2 linked regions of the Drosophila melanogaster genome follow. The protein of the gene in region 1 purifies or fractionates together with the protein of each later gene. This does not show direct contact. Each region holds a gene or a part of one and is shown on either strand. Other genes may lie near its edges.

The links.
Region 2: the proteins of inaF-B (region 1) and inaD purify together in Drosophila melanogaster (affinity purification with western blotting; one study listed by BioGRID). This does not show direct contact.

What each region holds. Positions count from the first base shown.
Region 1 is NC_004354.4:11,730,612-11,734,535, reverse strand, and holds the start of inaF-B (inaF-B), read left to right. Parts: upstream 1-1,765; 5' UTR 1,766-1,873; coding exon 1,874-2,119; 3' UTR 2,120-2,181; intron 2,182-2,770; exon of another isoform or gene 2,771-2,889; coding exon of another isoform or gene 2,890-3,312; exon of another isoform or gene 3,313-3,385; intron 3,386-3,924. Other genes in the region: inaF-A, read left to right, coding at 642-911; inaF-C, read left to right, coding at 2,890-3,312; CG15221 (uncharacterized protein), read right to left, coding at 1-352.
Region 2 is NT_033778.4:22,856,879-22,860,802, reverse strand, and holds the start of inaD (inactivation no afterpotential D), read left to right. Parts: upstream 1-2,008; 5' UTR 2,009-2,204; coding exon 2,205-2,241; intron 2,242-2,591; coding exon 2,592-3,202; intron 3,203-3,256; coding exon 3,257-3,347; intron 3,348-3,409; coding exon 3,410-3,765; intron 3,766-3,829; coding exon 3,830-3,924. UniProt on the Drosophila melanogaster protein: Involved in the negative feedback regulation of the light-activated signaling cascade in photoreceptors through a calcium-mediated process.

The sequences.
Region 1 (3,924 bases):
GCGGAAACGATGGAGCACACGGAACTGATGCACAGGGCGTATCGCAATGTGGTTGCCCGACCCCAAGTGTCGGCCAGAAAGCCCATGGCATGTGAGCTCAGTACGACGCCCAGGAATCCGGCCGACGCCAGGATGCCCTGCTGGTTTAGCGTCGGTTGAAGATCGCATTTCATCTGGTTCATGATTAGGCTAACGCCCATAATTTCCACCATCACGCCCATAAAGCACAGTCCACAGATGAGCAGCAACTTGTAGTGGAAGCGGCCCACTCCCGTCAGCGTGATGGCCTCCTCGAAAGTGTGGGGGCGGGGCTTCTCCGACAGGTTCTCCTCGCGGCCCCCCTCCATGTTTGCTATACAGAGAGAAAATGTTTGTTGTGCCATAATTATTGAGAATATTGCTTTTTTGTATGGGTCTATCTAAAAATTTCAAATAACAAATATGTCCTGCATGCATGAGGTATTTATGTATCTTAAAGTTTACTTAACTTTAACTGATTTTGTTTTTTCTCAGTTTACCAATCAAATGGAATCAGTCAATCAGTGTCATTCAAAGTGAAACCCTTGAGTTTATGGAATAATTAAAGTTTTAACCAAGCATTTCGCTTGGCAGGGAATCGCGAGCTCAGTTGGCGTTTAATCATGGCCTCGTCCACTTTGGATTTGGGTGAAAAGCCGGAGGAAAATGATGACGTGCGCCTGCCCAAGGAGCAGCAACCACCAGCCTTCTTCGAATCGAAGACCTTCCGGATAATTTCGATCTTTCTGTATCTGGGCGGGATCAGTGGCCTGGGAATGGTGCTGGCCCTCTACTATCTCATGTTCTTCGACTCCAGCATGCCGGACATTCATCTCAAGTTTCCCGTCTCCATTGGCGGCCATCCAGTGCAGAAGGTGCACGAGTACCAGTGACCATTTGACCACTTGACCCAGCCGGGTGGTAAGTACCAGTACCTTCACAATTGCAGGCAGGGCGGGTTGGAGATGGAGGGCAGACTGCTGCTAATTGGATTTGGGAATGCTAGCAAAGGTGGGCCAAATATGGCCAAGTTGAAATCTCGACTGAAAGATACCCTTGAATATGCAATTATTTTCAAGCTACAAAAGAAGGAAATATTACAAATATTTCAAACAAAACAATTTAAAAACAATTTGGAAATGGAACCATTTAAGGGACGAATAACATGTCTATATGATTCATGAATCAAATAACTCGAATAGTTTTCAAATCTATTCGAAAGTCAAAAATCACTATGAATGAACTAAAATATTCTAGAAGATTTTCAATTCGATTATATCTTATAGACACACTGCCCATCACCATCGTCACTTTCATTTCGCTGGCCAAACATGAATATAGAATCTGCATTTGAACGGAACGGAAAGAATAGGAGGGAAACGTATAGAAGGGGAAAGAATAAAGAATAAAGCGAAGTGGTCTCGGAATCAGGATTGGAGGAGTGACGCCTAACCGGGTCAAGTGGTCGTCGACGGCGTCGAAGAACGCAGCACGTGATGCGGATCCGATTGGAATGGGTTGCGCTCGGTTGGGATACTCAAAGTGCAACTGGCGAATCTTATTAGCGTGGCCGCCAAGACGATGAATCCACGCCCGCTCCTCCCCATCCCTTTGGGTGTCCACGCCATCCAAAAACCCAAAGAAACCGCAAAAAACCGTCGAGCGGAATGCGAAAATCGAGGAAGCACGAACAGCAAAAGAAACACAACCAAAAGACCAGATCCACGGACAGTCGGAGCAATTGCTCAATTGTGTTCAGTTCGTTCGAAGAGGCGGTTACGGTTGCGATTGGCCACCTTTTTCCATATCGCTTGGGTCATTCAGCACATTCTCGAAATAAATAAGAAGCGGCATAATGAGCGGACCGTCGGCACTGATGGCCAATCTGGCCGATGTAGTCAAGGAGGCCAAGGATGAGGAGATCCCGATGCCCAAATCGAATGACTTCTTCGAGTCTAAGACCTTCCGCCTGCTCACCCTGTTGCTCTACATGGGCGGCGTTAGCGGCATGGGCTTGACTCTGGCTGTCTACTACCTGTTCATCTGGGATTCACGCATGCCGCCGCTGCCCGTGTTCAAGCACACGCATCCGATTGGCTAGGATCGGATGGCTATCATTTAGTTAGCCATCCATCTCCCAGCGACATCAGTGACCGGAATTGGGTAAGTGGCCACGTGAAACTGGCATTTGGGGCCATTCGCATTGTGACAGTGCTGTCAGCTCGGCGATTTGTCAATTAAATCGTTGCTACCTAATTAGATTGTCACTTCAATATGCCGCACACAGAAAATATTCACTGATTTTAAATCTTGAGAAACGGCGCGAAAAAGTATGCTACAAAATTTGGCTCTTACGATCATACTATAATCATATCATAAGCAATCATAATCGCACATTAATAATTACTATACCATGTTTTTTATTTATTTAACAATTTCTGTTCAAATGAATCTTCTTCAGAAGGCTTAATGTCTGGAAAAAACAGAATATTTACCTTTATATTTTGCATTAACATTTAAACAAAAGTACTTTAATCCTATTGTGGATGTCTGTGCCGCCGCTGAAGAGATTTTATTCGGCAAAAAGCAGTCAACACTGTTTGTGGGCTTGGTTTAGTGGCTTAATTAGCCCCCGTGGCCGATATCAAAAGTTGACAGCCAGGCACAAAACTAATCCGCTTTGCTACGTGCCAACGAATCGCAGAGTTTGAACCACCAATTTCCATTTGCTCTACACTATCCACACAGCCTGGTGGGTGGAATATGGCGTCATTCGTGTGATTTTGATTTAATCGTGGTAGCGATTCCAAATCAGTAGCTGCCACATCGCGAACTGGACGGACGCGACCAGAAAAGTACATATCCGCAGTAATGTCCACTGCGTCAGAATCCGCCAGGGCGGGCCTGGGCAATGCCGCCAGCATGGCGAATCTTGCCAAGATTGTCAATCTCATCGAATCGAACGTGAAGAGCGAGGATGTGGAGGTGCTTGAGGAAGCGGTCAGGGGATCAACCGGAACCGGAAGTGGCAGCAGCGTCCGCTTGGCCAGCAGCAGTGCCCCGCGTAGAAGTGCCTGTGCCACATCGTATGTCCCCAAGTCACCGCAGCTGGAGGAGATTGTGTTCGCAGAGCCCACGTATACCGAGCGATTTGCCCGATACTTTGTGATCGTGATCTATTTGTGCGGGCTCTGCAGCCTGGGATTCTTTCTGTCCATCTACCACATCTTCTTCTGGGATTCACGCATGCCACCCGTTTACAAGGGCCAGAAGAAGGGGCCTGCCTTCGGCTAGAGCTGCCTGGTTAACACATCCACTTCATTCACCGAAATATTTCCCAACTTAGTGAAATTTCATTTGATTTTTGGTAAGAATCCCGTTCTGGCATATGTGGCGTATGCGTAATATTCGAGGATCACGCTTTTGTTACTCATACGCAATGTTGTCAGAGCATTTTTTGCTTTTACATTTTATTATGAATGGCAAACCTTCTTAGTCTAATTAATTCAAAGCCAATATCTTTCCTGCACACACATTTACTCGAGCCATGCCATTAGTTCTTATTAAGTTGATAAACCGCCCGTCTCGCCCATCGTTTCTTAGCCCAGAAACTTTTCGCCCAACAAAAGTTTAAGTTTAATTATGTGTATCCAACTCTGTATCATGCATGTTGGGGGAATAAGTTTACCCTTATTCGCTTACCAAGGCCCATAGCCCAAGTTATCCCATCGTTCCGGCTGCCCGAGCTGCTTAATCAGCTTTGTCTGCACATAAGTAAGCAGATGGATAAACCATCCTTAAACTTGCCATGGGCAAAATGGCTGGAGGGAAACGGAAGTGGGAAATGGTTGTTGGGAAGGGGGGGATGGAAAATGGCAAATGCAATAGGCCGGGCCCAAAACATTT
Region 2 (3,924 bases), on another chromosome or scaffold:
CGGTAATCCATTTTCAGTTGTGGTTTTGTGGCTTTCCTTATTACCCAGCTCCCCAGGTCCTGTGCAATTTCCATATTATTCCAAATCCGAATCGTTGCCTCAAGTGTTTTGGCGCAGAAAACTGTAATTTTTATTCATTTCCAGGACGCAGTCTGAAGTGCCTGCTAAACGATTATTAGCAATTTGATATAACTGCATGTAAGTACAACACGAGAACAAGTCAACAACGGATTCGCCTGCACACACACACACACACACACACACACAGACACGTGTGGCCACTTACATAAGGACGAGTGGGTGTATGTGTGTGAGTGTGTTTGCCTGTGTGACAGCCAACAGTGGAAAATCACTTCAGTTAACTAAATCCCCGCAACAACCATGCGCCGACTGCGCCGCAGCAGCACGACTTCTGCAGGAGCGGACAGAGAGAGAGAGAGAGAGAAGGAGAGAGAGAAACAGAGAGCGGAACAGCCGAAAAGGACACGGCACAAAGCAGCCATTGCAGGGGCGTGGCCTGCGGCCAGAGAGCCAATCGGAGGGCGAGGTCTTGCGAACAGCGACGTCGGCAGCGGCAGAGGCTGCAAGGGACGAGGAGAGAGCGGGGCGGGGCTGGGGGAAGAGGTGGAAAAGGGGGCGGCAGCGTTAAGCTCATTGCCATATTTTCGCTGTGCTCTCTTTTGAATTTACTTTACTAACAAAACATGACTGTTGGGAGGCAAAAAGGAAATTGTTTTATCAAATGGGTTTCCTTACGCTTTTTTATTATGAAATTAATTTCCAGCATCGTTTCGCAGTCGTTGACGTTCCACTCCCATCGCTCTCACTCCCACTCTCCGTTGGGTTCGCCATTTTCCAGTTTAAACCCCATTTTGCGCCCAGCTCCTTTGAGCATGTGTTTACTCTAGTTTTCCTTTGGAGCTGCCTTAGCCATTCCACTTTCGTTTCATTCCGTTCGGGCAATGTTCGGGAAATGTTTGCATAGTCATATTCTCCCTTCCCTGCCTCCAGTTTCCTTTTTTCATACCGCCTTTCCCCCCGACAAAGGCATTAAAATGCAAATCTTGATTATGAATTTAAGCTCGGCAGACAAATTAAATTTATTTGCCACTCGAAAGATAAAAATCTTGAAAGTTTTATTTGATTACCGCTTGTGTCTGGTTCAGAAGTTCCCCAGCAATCCTTACCAATTCGCATTGAAATTGTTGCCTACTTTTTGGGGCTATATTATTGATACTGAATATATACAGTTCATATTCAATATCATATCATTGTCACCTTACATTTTATATTTATTTACTCTTTATTCTTCGGTATTTTGTGCGCATTTTATTATTGTTTTTTTATTAAGGATATTATATGTTTTAAAAATGTCCCCCACAAATTGTTGTTATTTGCAGTGCCGATATAGAAGCTCTCGCCCAGGTAAAAGTGTGTGAGACATATGTTATTCAGTTGTAAGTGCAATGAAAGAAAAATATAAAATCGATGGGCATTGCTGGTCAACACTTGGTGGGCTTCTCCTGGCGGAGTGTTGAGTTCAGCACGGGCCAAATCGTACCAACAAATTAATAACTTGATAGGGCCAATAAAGGTACATGGGTATCCATTTTCCCCTAGCCTTCACATCCGCGATGGTAACCCATATAATGGCCGTCTTCGGGGAGCTGGGTGTTTTGTGAGTGGTGTCATAACAGACAGTGAAAGTTACTCAATTCATTGGAGGCACCTCCTCCGAATCGATAGCACTGTACTGCAAGGTAATATTTTAATGGGTAATCTCAAGATACGAAACATTTTCATTATTATTAGTAGAATTTTTCTTTTACTCAAGCATTCTTTAGAAGGAAAGTTTGTGAAAGTGTCTTAGCATATATGTATGAACTACATGCATCTGGTACTCTAAGATCAACCCTGCTGACCAGTGTAATCGATACGAAAATCATACTCAAAATAGAATGGCCACTAAGTCAGTTAGCAAGAATGTTCGCCCGCTAATTGTAAAATCAGTTTAGGCGCACTTTTCAATGGACTCAAATCGGGCGCAGCCAACGCGGAATATTCACAAATAATAATTAAGTGAAAACCCATAACAATAAATATTCGATATTACATTTGAGCTTAATTCGGTGCGCTTAATGTCCGGTCAGTGAGTCGCGAGTTTTTGGCTAGGATTACGGAGCAGTCGATCTCAAGCAGCGAGGATGGTTCAGTTCCTGGGCAAACAGGGCACCGCGGGTGGTCAGTGTCCATTGAGTGGTTTCATGACCAACTGCTAATCAAATTTGCAGCTAGTCCCGAAAGAACTTGACCTTCCAAAGGTCACTCAATACTCGTTTTGTGTTTTATGAATCAAATAAAACAAAATTTGAACAAAAGCCAATTCAATTGACTTTATTGATTCTTAAGAATCCTGTGAGAAATATGTTTATGTAATGAACTTAACCTTAACATTTATATAAACGATTATACAATATTGGTGAAAATTATTTTGCGAAAGGATACCAAGTGGGATAAGGACCCCAATAAATATTTATTAGTAATAGCTTCACATTTGTCTTAGTCGTACTTTAACAATACGTTGTAAATAGTTTTTATTTCATTTGGAATGCACAATCCTTTCCCAGAGCTCATTCACATGGTGACCCTGGACAAGACGGGCAAGAAGTCCTTCGGCATCTGCATAGTGCGCGGCGAGGTGAAGGATTCGCCCAACACCAAGACCACCGGCATCTTCATCAAGGGCATTGTGCCCGACAGTCCCGCGCATCTGTGTGGTCGCCTAAAGGTTGGCGATCGGATCCTCTCGCTCAACGGAAAGGATGTGCGCAACTCCACCGAACAGGCGGTCATCGATCTCATCAAGGAGGCGGACTTCAAGATCGAACTGGAGATTCAGACCTTCGACAAGAGCGATGAGCAGCAGGCCAAGTCAGATCCGCGGAGCAATGGCTACATGCAGGCCAAGAACAAGTTCAACCAGGAGCAGACCACCAACAACAATGCGTCCGGAGGTCAGGGAATGGGGCAAGGTCAGGGTCAGGGTCAGGGAATGGCTGGCATGAACCGGCAGCAATCGATGCAGAAGCGGAATACCACATTCACGGCCTCGATGCGTCAGAAGCATAGTAACTACGCCGACGAGGATGACGAGGACACCCGGGACATGACCGGTCGCATTCGCACGGAGGCGGGTTATGAGGTGGGTTAACCCAAGGTCGCCACCCATCGCTCTACTAACTTATAAGTACCTTAGATCGATCGAGCATCCGCCGGTAATTGCAAACTCAACAAGCAGGAAAAGGATCGCGACAAGGAGCAGGAAGATGAATTTGGCTACACGATGGGTAAGACTCAATTGAAGCCATTAAAAAATGTCAGTCACACAGCACGTGAATGCCATTCCCAGCTAAGATCAACAAGCGGTACAACATGATGAAGGATCTGCGCAGGATCGAGGTCCAGAGGGACGCCAGCAAGCCACTGGGACTCGCACTCGCTGGCCACAAGGACCGCCAGAAGATGGCCTGCTTTGTTGCCGGTGTGGATCCCAACGGAGCATTGGGTAGCGTGGACATCAAACCGGGCGACGAGATCGTCGAGGTCAACGGCAATGTGCTGAAGAATCGCTGCCACTTGAACGCTTCCGCCGTGTTCAAGAACGTGGATGGGGATAAGCTCGTGATGATCACCTCGCGACGCAAGCCCAACGATGAGGGCATGTGCGTCAAGCCCATCAAGAAGTTCCCCACCGCGTCTGATGAGGTCCGTACTTTTCACTTCTTTTCGGATGGATCCTGCGATAAAATGTCCTTCCCTTCTATTCCAGACTAAGTTTATCTTCGACCAGTTTCCCAAGGCGCGCACGGTGCAGGTGCGCAAGGAGGGTTTCCTGGGCATCATGGTCATCTATGGCAAGCACGC